3 linked regions of the Oreochromis niloticus genome follow. The protein of the gene in region 3 interacts with the protein of the main gene of each other region in a pairwise test. Links are inferred from orthologs where the notes say so. Each region holds a gene or a part of one and is shown on either strand. Other genes may lie near its edges.

Region 1 (7,327 bases), on a different chromosome or scaffold from region 3:
GTTATAAAATGTGAGGTCCAAAACTAACAGATGATGTTATGATGACTACATCCAAGTTTTGTACTGTATGGTTTACATCAGTATCTGCTACAATGAAAGGATTGACACTTTTAAAATATGTGCCAGCGTATTGACCTTAGTTTGTCACAAATTGCCTTTGTCTGAATACTTCCAGGAAATAAACAGCCTGGACATAATATCATTAAGACAGAGAAGCTGTGCTAAGGGAACAGAATCACTCAACAACCCCGAACATCTGGTAGAAAAATCAATTAACATAAAGAAAAGAGAGACCAGTCCAGGCTTGTTGGTGTTTTTAAAGCATCACAGGCATTTAAAGATTTTTTATAGGATGACAAGTAAATCTTTACTCATCTTCAACATTTCAACCTGTTAAAACCCCCTTACCACCAAGCACAAAGCTACAAGCTTCCTGTATAACTAATTACGCCAGCAAAATAACATGTTCACTGGCTCTCACCCAGGCGGTACCCTTCTCCTGCCCCTTCATCCATCCTTTAAGATACTGCTACCAGGTGGATGCAACAAAATGTCAGTAGTCTAAAAATGGAAAATATAAAGATAATTATAAATTGTAACTGATGTGAAAATCATCTAATCTTATACTCGTGTGTTTGCGACTAACATAAAAAAGCAGCACACACAATTTGAATATGAGAAATAACAGCACATTAGTGTTGGTGCCTTGCATGTATCAGCATACAACACAGCTGATCAATGATGTTTTAAACTCGAGGTTGTTTCCAGAATAATATTTTCAAAATCAACTGAAAAATGATATTTTAAAACTCTTTCTCAAACACGGGTACTTTAACTTGGTAATGGTAACAAGGTATATATACGATTACATAGCAGCCTATATTCATCTCGTTCACTACCATAGCCTACCTACAATTAGTGTAGTCCAAAGACGTGTGTCAATGTAATTTGTGACTCTAATATGGCTGAGATGAGAGAGAGTTAGATAAAGTGTTTAAATTGTACAGAATAGAACAGTGTGCTGTATGAATGTAAAATAACGTGTCCGTTATCCTGTCTTCCTTCTCTCACTCCAACCGGTCGCAGCAGATGGCCCCGCCCATACATGCCAACCCTCCCGATTTTTCCAGGAGAATCACGAATTTCGGTGCCCCTCCCGAAAATCTCCCGGAGCCGCCACTCTCCCAAATTTCTCCTGATTTTCAGGTCGAAAATCAGGATATCCCAGAATTCATAGCGCGGCCCAGCCAATTCCAGTTTCCAACAATGGCGGCAGCTACTTAGTTTTAATATTACTCTTATTGCTCTTTCTGAGTCGCAAAATAAACTTTTAACATATTTTCAGGCGAGAATGTAGCTGTGTAAACTTCAAATATCTGAGCCAGCGAGAACAGCGAACTCCCGGCACATCGTTTTCAACCCCTCCGCAGTCTTTCGCTACTCAGGTTAAACATGATATAAAAGTCACTTGGATAACTTAAAAATGTTATTATTTGGCTTTTTGCAGTGTTTTATTTTTTCCTGAGTAAATCAGTTTGGCTGAGATTAAAGTTATTAGATTAGATTTAACTTCATTAATCCCTCGGGAGGGTTCCTCCGGGGGTTTCACACAGCTGAATAAACGTCAAACAGAAAACTGATTAAATAGTAGTGTCAGATGGTCGAGAATTTACACCAGTGTCCGGTTATATTTCAGATAGCACCCCCCCCCCAAAAAAGCCCTTTTGAATGTCTCCCTAATTCTGAGGTCTCAACGTTGGCAAGTATGGCCCCGCCCCTCACTGAGCCTGGTTCTGACGGAGGTTTCTTCCTGTTAAAAGGGAGTTTTTCCTTCCCACTGTTGCCAAAGTGCTTGCTCATAGGGGGTCATATTGGGTTGGGTTTTTCTCTGTATGTATTATTGCAGGGTCTACCTTACAATATAAAGCGCCTTCAGGCGGCTGTTGTTGTGATTTGGCGCTGTATAAATAAAATTGGATTAAATTGATTTTTAAAAAATGTGGCTTGAACTCTGACATATAGTCTAATGTGCACTCATTTTCTTCCACTTATCCAACCCACATAGAGATAGACAACCATACACATTCACACATCGGTGAATTTAGATTTACCAATTGACCTAACCCCATGCATGTCTTCAGACTATGGGAGTAAGCTGGAGTATCTGGAGAGAACACGTGGAGACACAGGGAAAACCTGCAAACTCCACACAGAAATGTCCTAGGCAGAATTAGAAACCTTCTTGTTGTGAGGCAACAGTACTAACCACCACAACACCTCCCACCCGTTCAGTAAGACTACAAAGGTTACATTGAACTGCATGGTTGATATGTACCTGTTGCATCCCATCCATTTTTTTGTCCTTCTATCTGGGATCCAGTTTTTTAAATTCACAGTTTCATAAACACCAATTATGAAACTTTGGGCATATATTATGGCATCAAGTAATTATATTTGTTCTTACCCTACTTTACTGATTATCAGTATATTTGAAAAATATATAAATACTAATATGAGCAAAAAACCCCAAACAATTAACAGTATCATCAAGTGAGAAAACCTTGAAATGAGTCACCTGAATGCCCCATCACCATCCACAGTAGGAGCAGTTATGTGAGTCGCGTCCCCTGAGAGCCCATAACCCAAGACCTCTGCGTAGATCCGGGCTCCTCTACTCACTGCATGGTTCAGATCCTCCAGCAGGAGCACAGCTGCCCCCTCTCCCATCACAAAACCTTCTCTTTCTGGATGAAAAGGCCTTGATGCCAGTGTAGGGTTGTTATTCCATTTGGTTGCGAGGGCACGGGCCCTAGCAAAGCCAGCTAAAGAAAGTGGCCCCACACAGGATTCTGTACCCCCTGCAACCATAGCAACTGCATCCCCGTGAGCGATGAACCTGGCTGCATCACCTACGGCATGTGCACCTGTGGTGCAAGCTGTGGACACGGCATGATTGGGACCCTTTAGTTTGTGTTTGATGCTTATGTGTCCAGCAGCCATGTTGACAAGGATGCGTGGCACAAAGAATGGACTCACTTTGTTGTACCCCTTCTCTTGGAAGAGGGAGGAGGTACGAGCGATTTCGTCCAGCGACACCATGCCCATCCCAACAGCCACCCCTGTGCTGAGCTGCTCCTCCGGGCTTTTGGGACACCAGCCTGCATCCTCCAGGGCCAGCTGAGTAGCTCCAAGGGCCATTACGGTTGCTGATGACATGCTACTGATCTCCTTACGAGAAGCAAATGTTTCCTCTTCAAACTGACCCTCCTTGGTTCCTCTGGGTACCAGAGCTGCCACTCTACAGGGGAGAGTCCTGTACTCTTCTGAGTCCAGGGGAACTACCCCACTCTGACCTTTGATCAGACGGTCCCAGGACAGAGCAGTGCCCGTGCCTAGAGGACAAACTAACCCTATTCCTGTGATAACAACCCTCCTTCTTTGTTGCCGTCCAGAGCTGTGGTGCCTAGACTCCTGATTCGGACAAACACCGGCATTCTTGTGCAGAAGATTCCTTATGTTCTGTGGTCTCAACCGTAGTTTATTCCAACAAAACAGCGTAAAAACAGACATCCTGCTGTCTGTGTAAGCTTTGACAGCTTGAGGCTTATTGGATTGGAGTTTTTACTGTAAATATCAGAGGAAAAACGAAATTTAGATAAAATTATATAAATTACCGACTTACATAAACTAATAACTTACAGAACAGACCAGACTAGAGTTAGCGGTTATTTATGATGTCCGTGTCCATGCCTTCCTTGTGTTTGTCTTCAGCTGTATTTAGGTAGTATTAGTAAAGGCCAGATCCATTTAAATGGCCAACAAAAATAAACTAACTCAATACCACAGGAAGAAAACATATAAAAGCGTTTAATTATGTATAATTACGGCACAAATATTCAAACACAATTTTTAAGTCCTTCAGAAGAATCAAGCATTTATTCAGGCTCTGATGGGGCAGCTTCCTTTAGGACCCTAAAGTAGCTACTTAGCGTTAGCTGTTGCATTGAAAACTTACAGGACTTTTACATTTTTTTACAAGAAATATAAAGATGGCTGTTTCACCAGCGGTCACAACATTGTGTGAGAATCCAAATGAAGTCTTCTTAGATGTCACGAAGTTGTTACTTACATACGCGGACAACATTATAAGGTAAGGTAACGAAACGCTAGGAAAGCTTACCCAGCTGCAGTCAAGCCTCGGTGTTTTGTGCGCTTGTAGCTGTTAAAAAATGCCCTTTAGCTTTTATGTCACTCACCGACTCCTAGAAAATCATGGCATAACTGTTGAAATGGGTTTAAATGACTTAACAGAAAACAGTTTTTGGTTATGTAAAATACATTTATATATTTACACGTTTATTAAGCGATTTATTGCTACAAGGACAGTAACGGTTAAGGAACGCTAAATATGTCAGTGCATGTGTCAATAAAGGAGAATGCTATTCTTCTCTTAATGTCCACAGAAGTATGTGTCATAACCATAGACATCTTTGGTTTGCACGTGGGTCATTTAATCTGAAAATCATGTTTTGGGGGTTTTGTTTGTTTGTTCGTTTTATTTTTCTGCTTGACCATCTGCTCATGGCTAACCAACCAGAGATATAGTGGTGGTGGACAAGAAAAGGAAGACAGCTGTAATGATAGATGTAGGTATACCAAGTGATAGCAACGTCAGGAAGAAGGTACACGAGAAACCCGCCCCCACACAAAGTGGCCTCTCTTATTGTAAAAGTGAAATCAGGATCTGTAAATTGAGACGGATCAAAACATGTCTGAGTTTTGGCTTCTCAAAATATGAACTGCCCCATGTTGAGCACACTAAAAACAACTTACCATTGCGAAAGACAACGAATAACAGTTTTTGAATGGTATATTTAAATGCCTATTACTGTTTTGTTTTTGTTGTACAACACGTCACAACTGTCACTGTATCGTGAAATTTAAATGAATGAAAATAAAACTTTCTAGTTTTTGTGACTATGAATTTGAGTTTTTTTAAATAAGCATTCTTCATGTTTTGTTTTGCGTTATTGTAAAGTACAACTATGTAGCCTTCTGAAATATCTGTAATAGTTTCTGAGATGTTCATGTTCAAACGTTCCTTCAGATATCTGGAAAATTACTTTTATATATGAAGCTAAAACTTTTATAGTGATCAGTGTACATGTGTAAACTTGGAACCATGAACTTTTTAGCCAAATTGGCAATTAGTGAAGCAGAAGGCCCACGATAATTTGAGATGAACTGATCCATATATGTTGTCTGCTTAGCTGTGATGACACTTGTAGAAAAACAGTGGATTCAAAGCACATTATATCTGTTGTCAGATACTAAACAACTTAAATGATAACACTGTAAATGTGCGATTGGTCAGTATCAGTCAGTATTCCTCAGATGATTACTATTATATGTCATCTCTAACAGGTATCCCAATGAAGAGAAATACAGATCAATACGCATTGGGAATCCAACTTTCTCCACAAAACTGTTGCCTGTCAAAGGTGCTGTAGAGTGTCTCTTTGAGATGGGATTTGAGGAGGTAATTTATTCATTTCTACTGTACCAGATGGCTTCTATTATAGAGGCAAGCTCGTATTTTTGCTGCGTAGAACTTGCCTAGAAATCCTTTGGACATTTCTCGCTTGCTTAACTGTGAGTAAACTACCTCTTGCCAGGCTGAGACTCACTTAGTCTTCCCCAAGTCTGCATCAGTGGAAAAGCTGAAGCTCATCAGGGAATCTATTGCCACAGAAAGGGATCAGAGGCTACGTGAGGGATGTCCTGTCCAACCAGCTCCTGCTGCAGCTTCAGCCTCAGCAGCAACAAGCTCTAGTGCTGCGTCTAACCTATCTGCAGCGGCTCCAGCACAGCAGCCACCGTCCGTGGTAAATAAAGACACTCTCATTGATGAATCAAAGGGTAGAGAAACCCTGATTAAAGTGGGTCATGCCAACTCTATCCTGTGTTTACAGAGCATAGAGCCCTCCTTGGACAGAGAATGTAACACAGAAATTAGCCATTTGGAACTTTAGCTGGTAACTGCATTGTGGATTTTCATCCATGGATATTGGACAGCTGACCAAGCCATCTGGCATTCCAGGGCTGGGAGATCTTACAATGATTTAGCTGAAGTAATGTGATCCAGTTATTAATTATGGATAACAAGACTCACTCTATAAGCCAAAAACACAAAGGATCTTCTTTTTGTTATTTTTATTTTGAAAGGATCTTCTGTTTTCTGATCTGTAGAGAGGATGTTTTCTCTACAACGTGGACAGAGAACTGAAAAAATAAAGCAGTGTGACTTTATAGGAGTTATGCTTTCAAGTTATAGGACATCATAGTTTCAGTAGTTAATGAGGAAATTATTAATAGCACTATTTAAGTTTCCACCAAATGCCTGTACAACGCTTGAACAACATTCACTTCCTTGAATGACACATTGGAGACCTGTCTGTTTATTTGCCTCTGTGTCAGGAGAGCAGCATGAGCTTCTTTGTGACTCTTCAAACAAACTTCCAACATGTGCTGCTTTATGAAAACCCTGAGCTGCAACAGAAAGCCCGGAGTTTGATCCCTCACCAGGAGCTGTACTCTGCTGCTCAACAAAAGCTGAAGGAGGCTAATGAGTCTGACCCAAGTAAGAGAATTTCACCCACAGAAAACTTGGATTTGTAACGTGCGTGCGTGCGTGTGTGCGTGCGTGTGTGTGTGGTGAAATTTTTGACTTGCTGTCCTGTTTTTAGAATGTAAAATTGGAATAGAAGACTTCTTGGTGCTGGAATTGCTCAGGTGGTTCAAAAATGACTTCTTCACCTGGGTGGACTGTTTGCCCTGCCATCTCTGTGGAGGACAGACTCAGAACGCTCCCTCCCTCAGTCCTAGCACCGATGACCTCCACTGGGGAGCCCAGCGAGTGGAAAACCACTATTGTCAGAGCTGCCAGGTTTCCACCAGATTCCCCAGGTGAGTGTAGGTTTATATCTTTGTATTTGGTTGCAAAACAAGTAAGACAAGTTGGGCAGGGATATGCTGCTTTCCACTGCTTGCTGAACACGCCTGCCAGCTAAAGAGGTCTTTTAGTCTTTCTAGTTTCTATGTAGAGAACAAAACGAAGATATCAGCAGTATGTGAAGGTAGGTAGTTAACAAAAATATGGGTAGCAAAACATGTTTGTTTTTTGTCTTTTATTAATGCTTTAACTAAAGATGTTAACAGAAGCAGAATGGAAAAAACGCACACATTGTTCTTGGATCACAAAAAGTTTACAAAATGCAACAAAAAGAAATACTCAGATCTAGATGAGATATTCAAAAAAGAACTACAG
Region 2 (8,350 bases), on a different chromosome or scaffold from region 3:
ACAGTCGTCGGACATCTCCTTTAAATACACATTCGTGCACCGGAAAGTCCTGCCCAGTACGGATAATGGGGTTTTTGTTGTTGTCATCGATAACATCGGATGTTGACAGTGTGTTGGTGTTAGCATTAATCTGGGACTGTTGGTTCTGCTGCTGCTGTTGCTGTTGCTGTTGTTGTTGTTGTGTGGATGAAGACTTGATTAACTTGTGGTTGCTGAAGATTTTACTCGCTCTGCTCTTGTTGTTCGTCCTGGAGGCTGTAAACGTCCCGGTCGCAGCCTCTTCGTCCGGCTCCAGTAAGTCCTCGTCTTTGCTCGGCCTGTGGTCCTTGCGCAGGGAGCGGATCTTCTCTCCGGTCATTTTCTAAACGGTCGACGCTGACGGAGCAGAGGGTGTCGTCGCTGACGATGACCCTCCGGGCGAACTGATGCGATTCGCCAGTTGGAAGTCTTCGCGCAAACACTGGAAACTGCACAACATGAAAACACTTACTTCTCCCACGGACACGCAAAAACCACAGTTTGCTCGAGGACGAACAAGTAGCACCCCCCTCGTGCCGGTTTCTTATGAAAACAAATAGTCTACTCTCCTCCTACCGCCCCAAACTGTCGACGGCTGCAGTACAACATAAGCGGCTCCAGTTGTACGAACGCTTCGGCTGATATCTTCCGGCTCGTATTATCGCGAGAGTTTGGGAAAGGTTATTACCGGCCACTCACTGAAGCCGCTCCTATTTTATCAAAACACAGCCTACAGTAGTGTAAAATAAACACGTTTTCTATTATTTTACTCACGTATTTGAGTTGAGTCCAAATTTAAGAGCCATATATTTTACATTTTAATCTAAAATTACATCTAATGTAGCTACACGAACACTGAAATCCAACTCCCACACACATCAACTACCCATCAGCTTTGGCCTTGTAACTTAAAGCGTTCAGACTCGCGAGTAACCAAATTCCTCAAAAAAGGAAAAAAAATCACCAAAAAACTACAATTAATTCTCTCCTGCAAAGTCTTTCCTCGCTCCTCTTTCATTTTTTAAAATTACTTTTAATTTAATTTTGCTTTTTCCAGGCTGTTAATTCTGCCGAACTGGAGGTCGCAACTTATTTAAATTCTAAACATATTTTATTTTTATTATGTACTGTGCATGAAGGCACTGCATTCAAAAATATATCACCAAGGGAGTTACACTTTCTATGATTTTTTAAAACTTACATGACACATGGGAAACAGCCAGCAACCCCCCTTGCAGCTAACATAGTGTTTTCTCGTTTATCCCAACAATAATTAAATATATTTTTTATGTATATAGTAAAAACTGTCTGCTCATAGGGGCTTGTCTTGTTTTATATTTTCATAAAAGCTGTGTGTACAGTACAGTACTTACCACCTCTTTATGCTAAATCACTTTAAAATATTAGTCTGCTCTCTTGTTCTCTTTTGTTTTTACAGAAAACAAAAACTTGGATGAAGGACAAAACTTTGTAAAGTAATAATTTAACGCTGTGGAACTGCTATTTTTATTTAACACTGCACTGTTTGTTTGTAGAGTTACAAGAGTTACAGGCATGCTTGTTATTCATAAAAAGGAGCCTATTGCACTCATTATTGGATTTTAAATTTTTATACTGCATTACTGTGTCTTCTGCATTTTACTAAGGTCTTTTACCTGTGTGTAATCTGCCAACGTGATCTGCAATATATACTGAATAATAAATTCAACATAAAATATTATTTATTCAGTAAAATGTTAAGGTACTTTAATTTTTTAAAGGTCAGAATCATACTACAAAATACATCAATGTACATTGATGACAATAAAAGTTCTACATTTTAATGACCACATAGTACATCAGCTGAATGTTTTTATATGGAAGTGTTAATTTCAGCCACAGCCCTCAGCTTTAAAACTTTAACAGTTTAGTGCTGGAGATGGAAATCTTACATGTAGCATACTCTCTGTGGATCATCTGCATTGAATAGCTCAAATAAATAACCAGGAATACCAACTTTCAAATGAATCTATAGTGGAAGATCTATACTAAGAAGAACAGAAATAAACATGTACTTAAAATTGCACCCAGATACCTCAGTGAATGCATTTCGTTATCACCACTGTAAGTAATTATTTTATCATCTATTTCATGTTATTATTTAGAATGAAGTGTATGGCCAAAAGCCTGAATGAACAATGAACATCAATTCTTTATGACAATGATGGGTGCTTCAGGAAAAAAGAAAGGTATTTAAAATACAAGAAATATGACAGATTCCATTTCATAAATAGTCATAAATTTATTTAGAAAAAAGCAAAACAAAACACGACGGTCTCTAAGCCCTTATTTACAGAATTTTTGTTCAAACTGTAGTGCGTACTTTGCCAAAAAAAAGGCCATAGCAGCAGCAGCTTGATTTGTTTGGATACATGCAAAAGCATGAAATGTCCACAGTTTCCTAAAACAAAGGTGATATCTTGTTTACAGTAGTCACAGTCACGTGAAGTTTTCATGTGACTGTGCATTCAAACTAAATACACCCTTTCTGCTTCCACAGGAATTATGCGAGTAAGTAGCAGCCAGATACTAATCAAATGGACTTGATTTACTGATTATCTGGAAGTGTAAAAGCAGAAGTTTTCACAGTTTGTGTTAAAACGGGGCAATCGTGGCTTAAGAGTTGGGAGTTCGCCTTGTAATCGCAAGGTTGCAGGTTCGAGCCCCGGCTCGGACAGTCTCGGTCGTTGTGTCCTTGGGCAAGACACTTCACCCGTTGCCTACTGGTGGTGGTCAGAGGGCCCGGTGGCGCCAGTGTCCGGCAGCCTCGCCTCTGTCAGTGCGCCCCAGGGTGGCTGTGGCTACAACGTAGCTTGCCATCACCAGTGTGTGAATGGGTGAATGACTGGATATGTAAAGCACTTTGGGGTCCTTAGGGACTAGAAAAGCGCTATATAAATACAGGCCATTTACCAAAACAATGCAACAGTCTTTCCAAGAGTGGATTCCCAGTTCAGACCGTGCAATGCTCAGAGAAACTGCAAAAAGCCCAAGACCTACTCTTCAGATTCTGCAGACTTCGGTTAACAAATTCAATGTTTAAGTTCATGACAGTACAATTAGAAGAAGACTGAACAAGTATAACTCGTTTGGAAGTATTAACTTATGAATAAGAACTTCAGCACTCACAATTTCATGTATAAAATCTTTAATATTACTAGACAATAAGAAAAAAATAAATGCATTTTAGCACAAGGCTTTCCTCAGCAGTTCTAATGCACATGCGCAGCCATCCACAAAACACTACCGGGACCTAATCCCTAATAGGCACAGGTGGTAACAATTAATAGTTTGTCAGCATGCAACACTGGCAGTGCACTCCAACCACAGACCTAAATCATTGAAACGTGTACAAAACAACACGCTCCATTAACACTGTCTGAAACACACAGCTCCCATTAAATGGTTTTTTGGGGTTGCAGTTGAGCCTGTTGGTTTTCTAATTTGCAAAGGCTGCCAGGAGAAAGCCTCTTCTCTGTAAAAAGGTCATGGCAGCACAGCTTAGGCATTTAAATAAACCACAAAACTTTTTGAACAATGTCCTTTGGACACACGACACCAAAGTGGAGATGTTATAATTTAATAATGCACACACAAGCATATCAGGACAAACACCTCATACCAACAATGGCAGAGGGGTGATGAATTGGACTTATTTTCACCTGGACATCACCTTCATGGGTACCTTGCATTCATCGCATCGACCATGAACTTCTCTGTAAACCAAAGTATTTTAGAGTCAAATACGAGTCCAGCTTGATCCCAAGCACAGCAGTAAATCTACAGCCGAATAGCTGGAAAAGAAAAGAATCAAGGTGGTTCAAGGGCCCAAAGTTGACTAAATACTGTATCAGGAACTTAAGAAAACTGTGCACAAACAAGTGCACACAGAACTCAATGAAGTGAAGCAACGCTGTAAAGAGGAGTGGAACAAAATTCCTCCACAACAATGTGAGAGACTGATAAAGTCACACGGAAAACGATTACTTCAAGTTACTGCTGCAAAAGGTGCTTCTTTAAGCTACTAAATCACAGACTGCACAGAGTCCTCTGTTTTTCCACAGATCGTTCCATACCAGAGCACACCCACTGTCTACGTGCTAAGTCATTGCCATACATAAAAGAATTAATGAAAAACAACAACAAATACTTAAATCTGCATCAAAAACACCTCTATCGTGTTACCACTGTCTCACTGTCACCAAAATGTTGTGACTACACCAAAAAAGATAGTTCTGATAGAAAGATTACATTTGTTGTTTTCATGAAAGAAAAAAGCAAATAGCCAGAAATTTTCCTATATTTATTTGATGTTGTTTCCACTTTGAGACCACACTAACTCCACGCGATTGTGTGAATTTGCTCAACAAACTGCACACAATAAAGCAAAGCGGACTGTTCTCGTTCAGAAGTCATTACAGAGCACTTCCTCCCCCTGTGGTTCACCCCTGGAAACACAGCTTCAGATACAAAAATGTTTTTAAAGAGGAAAAGAAAATAGCGCTAATAAAAATATGATTGGATAAAAAAAATGCACCAGATTCTGTGAATTGTGCCACCAACACAAGAACTTTTATTGCGGTTGCTGAAAAATCGAGTATCCCCCCCCAAGTCTGTGTTATTGTAAAGTGACTCTGTTGCTTTTATAAATCACTGTCTCTGGGTAAATATCTGAATCCTAAACCCAGAAGGAAACAACGTGCAGTAGTACATTCGTGTTAAAAAGTAGCCACCGTGTTGGAAAAAGAGGCGCGGACCCTGACTTAAAAAGCAGGAAACATTGCATCACGACGAACAGCGTAAACAACGTGCATGGCCACGTGGCCTGGACGCCCACTAACCCCCAGCAAATCAGCGCCACTCCGCGGTTTGTGTCGAGCGCTGATTGGCTCCGAGCGACAAGCGCAGCGCACGGCTCCATTAAATGTCTTTTACCATTACCGGGCACGGGTAATGCCTACTCATCTTCAGCCCGCTGTGGTCATTTTTGGAGCGCACTGCCATGAGTAACACGAACAAAAAAGAAGAACAAAGCGATTTGTTCGCCGGTTTCCACACGGCTTATAAATCCTTTGCAACAGATGCCATCCACGTCGGTCAGGAGCCGGAGCAATGGAAATCTATGGCTGTAGTACCGCCGATTTCCCTTTCTACCACGTTCAAGCAGCACTCTCCAGGAAAGCACGCTGTAAGTACCCAGTTACTTTAGGCCAGGTTAGGATCAGACTCGTTGCAGTGTTAGGGACGATATGAAGCCCGATGGTTTCTAAATGTTTGTATATTTTTAGGTTATTCTTATTCTTATTATACTATTATTATGTTTTAGCTCTGTATGGAGGCGTGTCTTGTATTATTTTAAGAATGCCTCTTTAGGTAAGTAAAGTTAACGTAAAATCTGTGATTTCAAGTGTTTTTAACCCACTTCATGTGACTGACTGCGCACTCTGTTAAATAAGAAACTACCCTCAGTCAAAATATGAAGCTCGACTTGTATTGTAATTCCTTCCTGCGTGTGATAACCAGCCCATGGCCATCCATTACTGAGAGTCTAGACTAGAATCCGCCTGTGTTAGATAAATAATGTTTTGTTTCCGCTCTAACATCATTATCTCCTTTGTTTCAGATTGTTAAAGTCGTTTTTTCCTTCTCATTGCTTCTGGCATTGATTGGCTAACAGATGACAGATTTCTAGCACTACACTGACAAAAAGAGGCAGGACATTACACAGGAACGAAATTCTCGAGGGCAGAGGTCACTAGTGTCAGTTTTCATTGCTTAATGTTTCACAGTTGTAAGACTCCTCATATGTAATGCGTTACCAGTTAAACATTTGTTTTTAGAGTTTTTGCACTCAGGTCTAACATCTGGTTATTTCCTAATCAGCTCATTTCTCCGATTTGAACCAGTAAATGATCAATGGAATCTAAACATAAACGTGCAGTAGGTGGGAGCAGGGCGTGATATGGAAACGATGGCTTTCTTCACACAAACCACTTAAACGCTTTGTTTAAAGCATTCGTTTGATTTCACAGGGAATTAATTATCCCAACATGTCCTTTTAATTATGTGTTTTGGAAATTACAAAGCACAAAGACACAGCTTCTATGATTTTAAAATCATCATAATCATCATTACAAAGACTTTGGTTTTCTTAATTAGCCCCACATCACCTCCATTAGAAGTGGTAATTTTTTTTCTCTCCAAATATTAAAAAACTTATTTTTTTCATTTCATTTACATCTTTCTGATCGTAGCAAAGCAAGCAGTGTTTTTCAAAATCAAGGAAAAAGAAGGAAAAACCCGACTATGTTTTAGACAAAAAGGGTGTAGGCAGAAGCAACAGCTTGTATGTACCTGCACCATATATATAATCCAACCACAAAGTATTTTATAATAACATTAATAATAATAAGTCAAATATCTATATCTGTGGGGTTTTTTTTTTAATACCTAAACTTAACAAAAGTGCCACATACCAAGTCATCACTGACCACTAAATAACTGCATCCCCTTACTGTCTGAACAGGTGCACGCAAGTATTATAAATGTTGACCGTGGTGATGGAAATGTAAAAACCTTGTGTTGATGTAGGGCTTCGAGTATAGCCGGAGTGGAAATCCTACCAGAAACTGCCTTGAAAAAGCCGTCGCTGCACTGGACGGAGCAAAGTACTGTACGTCAGCCAATCATATTTCGCAGCAGTGAATTTAAACAGCATGTCATCATTTTACTTAATGTTTAATGCTTCAAAAATGACAGTCTTCCAATTTTAGTCTTCTCTGACATGATGATGAAAATAATTCCTGCTCTGACAACTTCTCACACCTTTTCCCTGCAGGCCTTGCTCTCGCTTCAGGACTAGCGGCCACAGTGACGATCACTCACATGCTCAAGGCAGGCGATGGAATCGTCAGCATGGATGACGTGTATGGAGGTGAGAAACCACTTTGCAACTTGGCCAAATGTGTAAAACAAACTCGTTGAGCTATGAGACGTTACCTTGTTTCCTAGATTACTTATTTATGATGTGGTTTAGTGATATTAACAGCGATTTTTTTATTTTTTTAATCACAAGGCACAAACCGCTACTTTCAAAGAATCGCAGCTGAAGTCGGCCTGGATGTGTCTTTTGCTGACTGCACAAAACCCCAATTGCTCAAGGCTGCCTTGAAGCCAAATACTAAGGTATGTCAAAGCAAAAATTACATTTCAGAAGATTTCAGAACATGTGTTGTTTGTTTTGTTGTGTTTGGGCGCACCTTTTAGGAGACTTTTCCATTTTATCCGCAAAATAAACACATGCTGTTGTACTAGTGTCTGGTTTAACTTGTATGTTGCATAATAGGGCGTGTCTTTTTTGCTTTAAGCTAACTGAAACGGTCATTGTGAATCAGCAGTTCAAGTGATTGGATGATTTTTCTTTTTCTTCTGGAAGTTACCCCCATCCCTCCGCCCCCATGTTTGGTTTGACTTATACAGTAAAATCATCTCTTTGCTTACGTAGCTGGTGTGGATTGAAACACCCACCAACCCCATGATGAAGGTGGTGGACATCAAGGCCTGCTCCGACTTGGTCCATGAGCACAACAAAGACATAGTGGTGGTCGTGGACAACACCTTCATGTCGGCGTATTTCCAGGTGAAACTTGACCCACGGTGCATTTTGTGCGCTGTTGATTATGTAACAACAGTTCGATAACGTTCTGCAATCAAATTCCAGTTCATGCTGGAATAATTCAGGAAATGATTTACTCTTGTTTCTCTTGTGCACCTTTAGCGCCCCTTGGCTTTGGGAGCTGATATCTGCATGTACTCAGCCACCAAATACATGAACGGTAGGTCCGATTTTACTAACCTAACATTTGCATTAGAAGTCGATGCAAACATTTTGTGATCTTAGTCATCTAGAATCTGTTGCACGCTAGAATGGATTAATTACTTTAGTTCTAAAATGTCTCCAAAGTGTAACACTGAAATGGGTAAAATAAGATCTTAAGCTTAAATGAATAATAATTGTAAAGCATTGCTAAGATGCTAGAATGTCCACGTTGCCCATCTCTACGATTAAAACAGAGCAACACATGCAGTGATCACCAGTGAAATTAGAACTTTTGTCAAGGTGTTTGAATTTGATGCTCACCCAGTTATAGTTTTGCCCCACCACCATCACACAGATACAAAAGAGCAACAAAGTCAACTCCAGTATAAACTCTGTGTTTTGGACTTCTCTTTATTGTTGTGTAATTTGTTTGGCAGGCCACAGCGATGTGGTGATGGGTCTCGTCTCCATGAA
Region 3 (7,336 bases):
CCAAGGGTTGGAAATGTCTTGCCAAACTCACACAACCAGTGGTGAAGACCATTAGAGTGCCAAGTACATGGTCATTGTAAAGTATTAACAGCTTCTTTTTTTTGATTTCTACATTTTTGTGGCTATTGTTTTTCAGTTGGCAGAAATCAAAAATATGATTATAAACCCTTTAAAGTCAAGTGTATCATGTTTTATGTGAGTTTTTGAGACTTCTACACGTCAGTGTGATTTTTTTTTTTTTCCCACGACAAGTAAATTGCACAAAAATACCTGATGCAGGAAATATGGCACAAATTAAAACTCATATAGCCAAATGGATACTTATCTAATTAAAAATTGTTAATTAGACTCAAGAAATTGAGTTAATTAGAAGTTAATTAGAAACTCAAGAAACTCAAGAAACTTCAGGCTTTAAAGGGTTAAGTATTAAATACTTTTTAATGTTTGCATTAACCCTTTAAAGCCTGAAAAAAAGAAACAGTTTCTAGACAATTTTTTAAATTGAGAGCTTCCGACAAAGATTTTTAATTAATTTAAAAATGTAATTAATCAGTTTGTGTCATATTTTCTACATCCAGCATTTAAAAATGTATTTATTTATTTAATTGTTTTGCATATTATTGCTTAAAAATGTTTTGTGAAATTAATTTAGGATTTTTAACTTCACGTTCCCTTGTACACATTAACACTGGAGATTCTCCTGCAGCTTCCAAGCCCATCAACTATTTGTGTGGATGACTGCAACTGTGTCGAGGGACACAGTGATCCCCGGGGCAACGGTAGGCTTTCCTCCCTGATGATACAGCCCCTTTAATATTTGTGGCCTCACGCACCAAAAACTCAGCATGAAAATAATTTTCCACCCAGGTATACAGACGGGACTGTGTGAGAACTACTCCACCACTGCACGGACCTGTGAAGTGCTCTCATGGTGCCCACTTGAAATAGACACTAAGCTGCCTGAGTAAGAGCACATTTACCATGTTAGAATATTTGTTACTAGTTGCAGTGTTGTGGAGGCTTGATGTGTCGTTTCATGTCCCGACAGGCATGCGCTGCTGGCTGCAGCAGAAAACTTCACCGTGTTGATCAAAAACAGCATCACGTACCCAAAGTTCAACTTTCACAGGTCGGTGAACTGCATTTGAATGTAAGAGGGAGATCTGTAGATGCTTAAGCAAACATACAGAGTCACAGTTTTTCCCTATTAAACCGGAGCCTTGTCCTCCTTCCTCCAGAAGAAACATACTGCCTCATGTGAACTCCTCATACCTGAAGAGGTGTGAATTCAGCCGTCTCACAGACCCACACTGTCCCATATTCAGACTCAAGGATATTGTCTCAGAGGCTGGGGAGGATTTTCAAGACATGGCTGTGAAGGTGAATCGAATGATCGTTGTCTTTCTGTACTGGAATTCATTGTTCAAGTTCCTGTATGGTCTTCCTCCAGTATATATGTCTCATAAGCAGGATGTGAGCCAGTACAGCCCTCAGGTTCCCAGGCTCCCGTCTGATAGTCACTCCCACAGTTAGTGTAATGTATGCATTTTTTATGTTCTCTGTGGTCACCCCAGATCACAAGGCAAAAACCTTTTTAGCTTCTGTGCTCTGTGCTGCGATTAAAGTCTGCCGTAGGAGCTGAGAACAGCTGGAAATGCTGAACTCTTAAAGCTATTTTGTTGGCTTTCCATTTAGTGTGGTTGAGCAACATTACATGGTTTATTTTTATGTAGCTGTTTCATCATCATTGTAGGATACATTGTTTTACAATGTTGTCTCTTTAAACTCTGAAAAGCGGCTATAAGTTAACATTTTCATTCAGCATTGCCATATTTGAACTTAATAATTATTGTAAGTCTTACACTGTTTTCAATTATAGTTGGTGTTTTCAACCAAATTTTAGGTCCTTACAGGTACTTATCTATATATATATATTATGATCATGGTTGCCTACCCATCACCTAGCAATGGCCATTTAACCTTTTTTTTTTTTTTTTTTTTTTTTTGCATTTATGCTCCTACAATAAAACGCATTTTACTATTTCAGTTTCAAGGCCAAAAGCACGAGCAGTCATTAAAATACTGTGGCATAGGCGTGTACTAGTTTTATACCATTCTTTGTAATTGTTTTTTCTCCAATCACTACTTTTTGTAGTGACTATCATATTTTAATTGTTGTCTTTAATTACATCTGTACAGCCCTAACCTAATTTTAAAGGTGCTAATTGAATAAACCTGAACTGAGTGATTGGTTTTACAGGGGGGCATCCTTGGTATTCTTATTGACTGGAGCTGCGATTTGGACTGGTGGGCAGGGGAGTGTTTACCTAAATACAGCTTCCGGAGGCTGGACAACAAACACCCTGTCAACAATGTGGCCCCTGGTTACAACTTTAGGTGAAACTATTTTATTTTTTAACAGATGCTTACTGATGAATGTATAAGGCTGAATAAAAGAACTGCTAAAACTTCTGTCTTTTAGATTTGCTAAATACTACAAGACAGCAGATGGAGAGGAAACCAGAACGTTGATCAAAGCTTACGGGATCCGCTTTGACGTCATTGTGTTTGGAACTGTGAGGCCTGAATAAATCTTGAAACAGCAATGATTTTATCAAGAACCTTCCTTGGTTTTACTTTAGTCTTACGGTAGTTTGGGGTTCTTACAGGCAGGAAGATTTTCCATCGTTCCAACCATAGTGAACTTGGGTGCAGCCTTGTCGTTCCTCAGTTTGGTGAGAAGAGAAATGTTCAAACTAGCATCCGTATAAGTGATGAAACACCAGATTTTTTATATTTTGCCTATTTTCCTTCAGGTGCCTGTGGTTGCTGACTGGTTTTTGGTGACTTGCTCGAGGAAACGAGATCTTTACAGCAGACACAAAACAACACATCTCACTGAAGATGCAGACAGTGCATCGGTAAGGGACTTTTCTCCTTCACTTTCACTGATGAACTTAATTAGTACTGACTAAGATGTTAAATGTTGGTCTGTTTGTTTGTGTTTTTCTGTAACACAGGTGTCAATGGGCACCACCTATGGAACCCAGTAGCAGGAGCAACATTTCTCTACAGAGAAATGGGAATCCTCATGAAACGTGACATTAAAACATCATTTGAGTACTTCACTGAAACCATAAAATGTGTAAATAGAAAGAAGGAGGATAAACAGTGATGGAGGAAGAACTCTGGCTTTTATTTAAGTAGCAGCTACAAAACACTCACTAGTAAAAGTATAAATGTGTAATCTTCAAAATATAATTATAATACCAGCAGCAAAGATGGAGATTGAACTATTTCAGAATGAAATATAGCACTGGGCTACTAATTACTGATGCATTAATATGTTCTTTTACAGCTTGCGGAAATTATTTGATTTGATTTATTTGCACTTTTGGGTAGTTTCACCCAAAATAATGCATTATCAGTTACCAGGTAATTGTATTCAGTAATATGAATTGAGTGAAAAACATGTAATTGTGTGAAAATAAATGGGAGTATAGTTACAGAGTATTTGTATAATGCATTAGAACATGGAATCATCATCATTCATATATGCCATAATCTTGGCACAACATGGTGTATTTTATGAGCCAATACTGATTTATAACAGATTGTCTTATATGATTATTTCCCCCTCTCTACGATAGAAAACATTTATATGTATCCAAGATTATTTATTTTTATACTAATCACTCTGATTTTCAGCATAAGTAGCCTAAACTGCTAAGTGCCCAATAATGTCACCAATCATAGCTTCATAGCTTTATTTATATTCTACATCAAAAATTGTGTGTGGTGGTGGGGGAGGTTGTTTTTTGTTTTTTCCTTTTGCTATGAATACATTTTTTAACACTTGAAGACGTTTGAATTTCCCGTCTCCTTCTAATCACATGACTTATAGTGAGAAGTATACATTAAAAAAACATCGTCCGTTTGAAATTGTAGTGAATAGTAGGATTAGTCCTGAAATACTTAAAGTTTGTCTAAAAATATTTCAAATCAATGGTTCAAGTACATAGTACTGAAAGTGCGTCGATAGAGTTTTCATAAGAAGCGTTCAAGTCTCCTCCAGACCACATGGTGGCAGTATAACTTTACTGAAGACGCAACCAAACACAAGAAGCGTCTCAGTACGCGAGTAAACACAGAAGCGGAGGAGCGTTTCGCTTCGAAGTGTCGGCACGGAAAACCGTCCTGAAAATGAGTTTTTGTTGCTGTTTTTCTTGTTAGTTATGTGTGTGCGCCTCGCAGCGGCGTGAGTCACAGAGCTGTGCGCGTTTTATCGGTAACAGAGCGATAAATAGTGCTAGCCTGGACGCTTGTAGTCGGGGAGCTAGTTTTTTTTAACTAGTTAGCATCGATGAGGGCACCCAGCCTCGCCCTCACTGCTGCAAACAAGACTGACCAGCTGGTACTGAGTTAGTTAGCGGGCGGTCTGTGAGAGAAAGAAACCAGCAGAATGACAGGTGAGTGAAACCGTGAATCAGTCTTGTGACAGCGCTAGTGTTTGTTTTGTTCAAGTGTGAAAGTAACTCCTCGGTTTACTCAGATGATGTCCTGCTGGATGTTCCTGTTATCCGGCAGCTGTACCACTGGGACTGTGGCTTAGCCTGCTCCAGGATGGTCCTCAAGTAAGAGCACATCAAGGTTTTTACCTTCAGAAGTCATGTTTTTATTGCACTATGTACTGTATCTGCCATACGGACTGCAGTGCTTCCTGCACTGCCTGCCAGCAGGCTCTTTTCTGAATTGCAAATCAAAGGTGCCTTGACATTGTGTGAGGGATTCACACTCCGGTTGTTTGAATGTGCAGGTACCTCCACCCTGTCAGCGATGATGAGTTTCAGAGGGCGTGCTGGGATCTGAAGCTGACAGAAAGTGTGTGGACTATCGACCTGGCCTACCTCATGTGCCATCTAGGAATCAAACACTGCTTTTGTACACAGACTCTGGGTGTAGATAAGGGCTTTAAAAACCAGGTATGTAGAACAAACTAACAGTGTAATTCTAGCCTGTTTTGAACAGTTTGATAGTTATCTATGATTGTGTCTTGATGATGTTTTGTTGTTGTTTACAGTCCTTTTACAAGAAGCATTTTGATACTGAAGAAAACCGAGTGAATGAGCTCTTCCTTAAAGCGGAGAGCAAAGGTGTGGTGGTGAAGAAATGGTGAGCTTCCTGTTGATTTTAATCTACCCGCCTACTTTTTTCAGTACCTTAAAATAAATATATGACCTCAGTTGTGTGTGCCTTCTCACAGTTCTGTTTCAGTTCAGGAAATCCAGTCTCATCTGGAGCAGGGCCACGTTGCCATAGTGCTGGTCAATGCTGTGGTGTTGACATGTGAACTGTGCTCCCAGCCTGTCAAATACTGCTGCTTCATGCCCGTGGGTCAGAAGTGTTTCTGCAGGAAGCCGGACTATCAGGGTCACTTTGTGGTTGTGTGTGGCTTCAACAGAACCACTGGCTCCATCTTCTACAATAACCCAGCGTATTCTGACCGTGAGTATACTTGTATTTCTACTTCTACTATAACTCTAACTGAAATTAATCTGTGGTAAGTAAGAGAAAGTCTTACTAAATGTGAATCCTCCTTAACCTTACCTGTCATGACACTGCTCGTTGTGTGGAAGTTATTGTAGAAAAGCTGCCAGAGAAGTGGATGGCTCAAGGTTTGCGGGTGATCTTCTAGATTGATCTAGATTTTAATATTTCACACAAATCCATACTGGGTGCACAAATGTGCTCACTGGTGTTTTGAGCACCACAAGTAACTGCTGCCTGATTCCATTCACTTAAAAAGAAAAAATCTCAAAGGCCGGTATCTCCTAAAGTCTTCATGTCACACTGGAATTATCAGGATGGCCATCATCCTGCTGTTGCCTCACAGCAAGAAGGTCCCCCACCCCCACCCGTTTACTGTGTACTTCGCCCTGTTGCAGATGGTCAAGAGACCGATTTGAAAGCAGAAGAAAATAGATGGATGGATGAATAACACTATAGCAAAATCCTCTTAATTTGAGTTCTGTAAGCTGTTCTTTTTAAGGAATCCTCAGAAATAAAATATATATGATAAAATGATAAAATTAAAATAAAACCTACTGTTAGGCTTAGACTAAGAAAGGTTACATTTTTGCACACAGTGATGGAGTCAGTCCTTAAACAGCAGCTGCTCTGCTTTCAGCTTTGGTGTAATGCCACTTTTTGTTGCAGCTGTTTTCAGCCATCATGTGATTCGTGAACGTCAATGTTTCCATTAACATAAACAAACCTTTGGGGGGGGGGGGGGGGGACTGGGGGTATGGTAATACTGGTGTATGAATTATTCAGTTATCAGGAAGAATACCTGTTAGCTCTGAGCACTCTGTTATCTTTGCCTTGCTTGGTTCCATGTCACTGCATGAGCTGAACCCCTCACATGGTGAACGACAGAAATGCAGAAAAAAAAAAAAAGCTAAGTGGGTTTCTTTTTTTAAAAACAGATAAACCTCTAAACGGCGGACTCAATTTGTGGGGCAACTGTGCTGTCTTTTCTTCATCCTCCTTAGTAGTGACAGAGTCAATTCAAGCTGGTAGCACAAGTTTATGCTGCCTGGCTTGATGTTCAGTGCTGTATTTGTGCAGTTTCTGGAGTTAGACATGGTTCATGTTTCACAAGTCATTGTTTTTTCCGTAAGCAAGACTCTGTTGATCAGAGTCTTATTTGTTGTTTCATATAAATGGAGTCGTGCATGAGAAAGGTGTACACTTACTAAAGGTCCACTCTCATATTGCTTCAGCATAGTCAACATAATATATTCAGGCCCAGCACTAATCCAAAGTAATTCTAATGAATCCAGAGGGAGACATGAGGGTGTGGATCAAATTTCATGGTAATCCAGCAGGTGTTGAGACATTATGTATAAGCACCATGGCTGGTGGTAATCACTGTACGGGCACCTGTGAGTTTTATAGCAGTCCATGAACATATAGAGCTAACAGTGGGAAGCAGACCCAGAGTACACTCTTTGAGCAGCTTATTTATAAATGTGTTTTTATTTATTTAACTTGGAGCTGAAAGATCTGTGTGTGTTTTTAGGGGTGTGCTGCACCAGCGTCAATAACTTTGAGGAAGCTCGACGCAGCTATGGGACGGACGAGGACATCCTGTTCGTCTTTAAAGAGAGTTGATGGATTTGGATTTTCTCATTATAGGAATATCAAAATGCTGCAGATCCCCAGTCTAGTGACACCTCCTCCTGTCTGCTGTCACAGATCCCCCTTTTGCAGGCTGTTTTCCTCCGGTGCCAAAATGCCTGCTCACATATATACATGTACTGTATATGCCAACACT

What was found. The genes of interacting proteins can lie anywhere in the genome.
Region 1: the proteins of gucd1 (region 3) and ngly1 interact in binary tests that used the Homo sapiens proteins (3 or more experiments, as listed by UniProt). The two-hybrid records come from large-scale screens. The link is inferred for Oreochromis niloticus from reciprocal best matches to the Homo sapiens genes GUCD1 and NGLY1.
Region 2: the proteins of gucd1 (region 3) and cth interact in binary tests that used the Homo sapiens proteins (3 or more experiments, as listed by UniProt). The two-hybrid records come from large-scale screens. The link is inferred for Oreochromis niloticus from reciprocal best matches to the Homo sapiens genes GUCD1 and CTH.

What each region holds. Positions count from the first base shown.
Region 1 is NC_031985.2:35,798,626-35,805,952, forward strand, and holds the start of ngly1 (peptide-N(4)-(N-acetyl-beta-glucosaminyl)asparagine amidase), read left to right. Parts: upstream 1-3,943; 5' UTR 3,944-4,049; coding exon 4,050-4,150; intron 4,151-4,180; exon of another isoform or gene 4,181-4,946; intron 4,947-5,424; coding exon 5,425-5,539; intron 5,540-5,675; coding exon 5,676-5,885; intron 5,886-6,477; coding exon 6,478-6,640; intron 6,641-6,746; coding exon 6,747-6,966; intron 6,967-7,327. Other genes in the region: oxsm (3-oxoacyl-[acyl-carrier-protein] synthase, mitochondrial), read right to left, coding at 2,576-3,570. UniProt on the Homo sapiens protein: Specifically deglycosylates the denatured form of N-linked glycoproteins in the cytoplasm and assists their proteasome-mediated degradation. Cleaves the beta-aspartyl-glucosamine (GlcNAc) of the glycan and the amide side chain of Asn, converting Asn to Asp.
Region 2 is NC_031980.2:36,019,902-36,028,251, forward strand, and holds the start of cth (cystathionine gamma-lyase), read left to right. Parts: upstream 1-4,966; 5' UTR 4,967-5,059; coding exon 5,060-5,245; intron 5,246-6,648; coding exon 6,649-6,730; intron 6,731-6,895; coding exon 6,896-6,991; intron 6,992-7,132; coding exon 7,133-7,242; intron 7,243-7,561; coding exon 7,562-7,696; intron 7,697-7,834; coding exon 7,835-7,892; intron 7,893-8,313; coding exon 8,314-8,350. Other genes in the region: ankyrin repeat domain-containing protein 13C, read right to left, coding at 1-358. UniProt on the Homo sapiens protein: Catalyzes the last step in the trans-sulfuration pathway from L-methionine to L-cysteine in a pyridoxal-5'-phosphate (PLP)-dependent manner, which consists on cleaving the L,L-cystathionine molecule into L-cysteine, ammonia and 2-oxobutanoate.
Region 3 is NC_031977.2:6,600,183-6,607,518, reverse strand, and holds the start of gucd1 (protein GUCD1), read left to right. Parts: upstream 1-3,952; 5' UTR 3,953-4,462; coding exon 4,463-4,469; intron 4,470-4,552; coding exon 4,553-4,634; intron 4,635-4,816; coding exon 4,817-4,982; intron 4,983-5,080; coding exon 5,081-5,172; intron 5,173-5,263; coding exon 5,264-5,505; intron 5,506-7,081; coding exon 7,082-7,173; 3' UTR 7,174-7,336. Other genes in the region: p2rx4b (P2X purinoceptor 4b), read left to right, coding at 707-779, 868-964, 1,049-1,129, 1,239-1,380, 2,261-2,397, 2,483-2,576, 2,670-2,735, 2,817-2,921 and 1 more.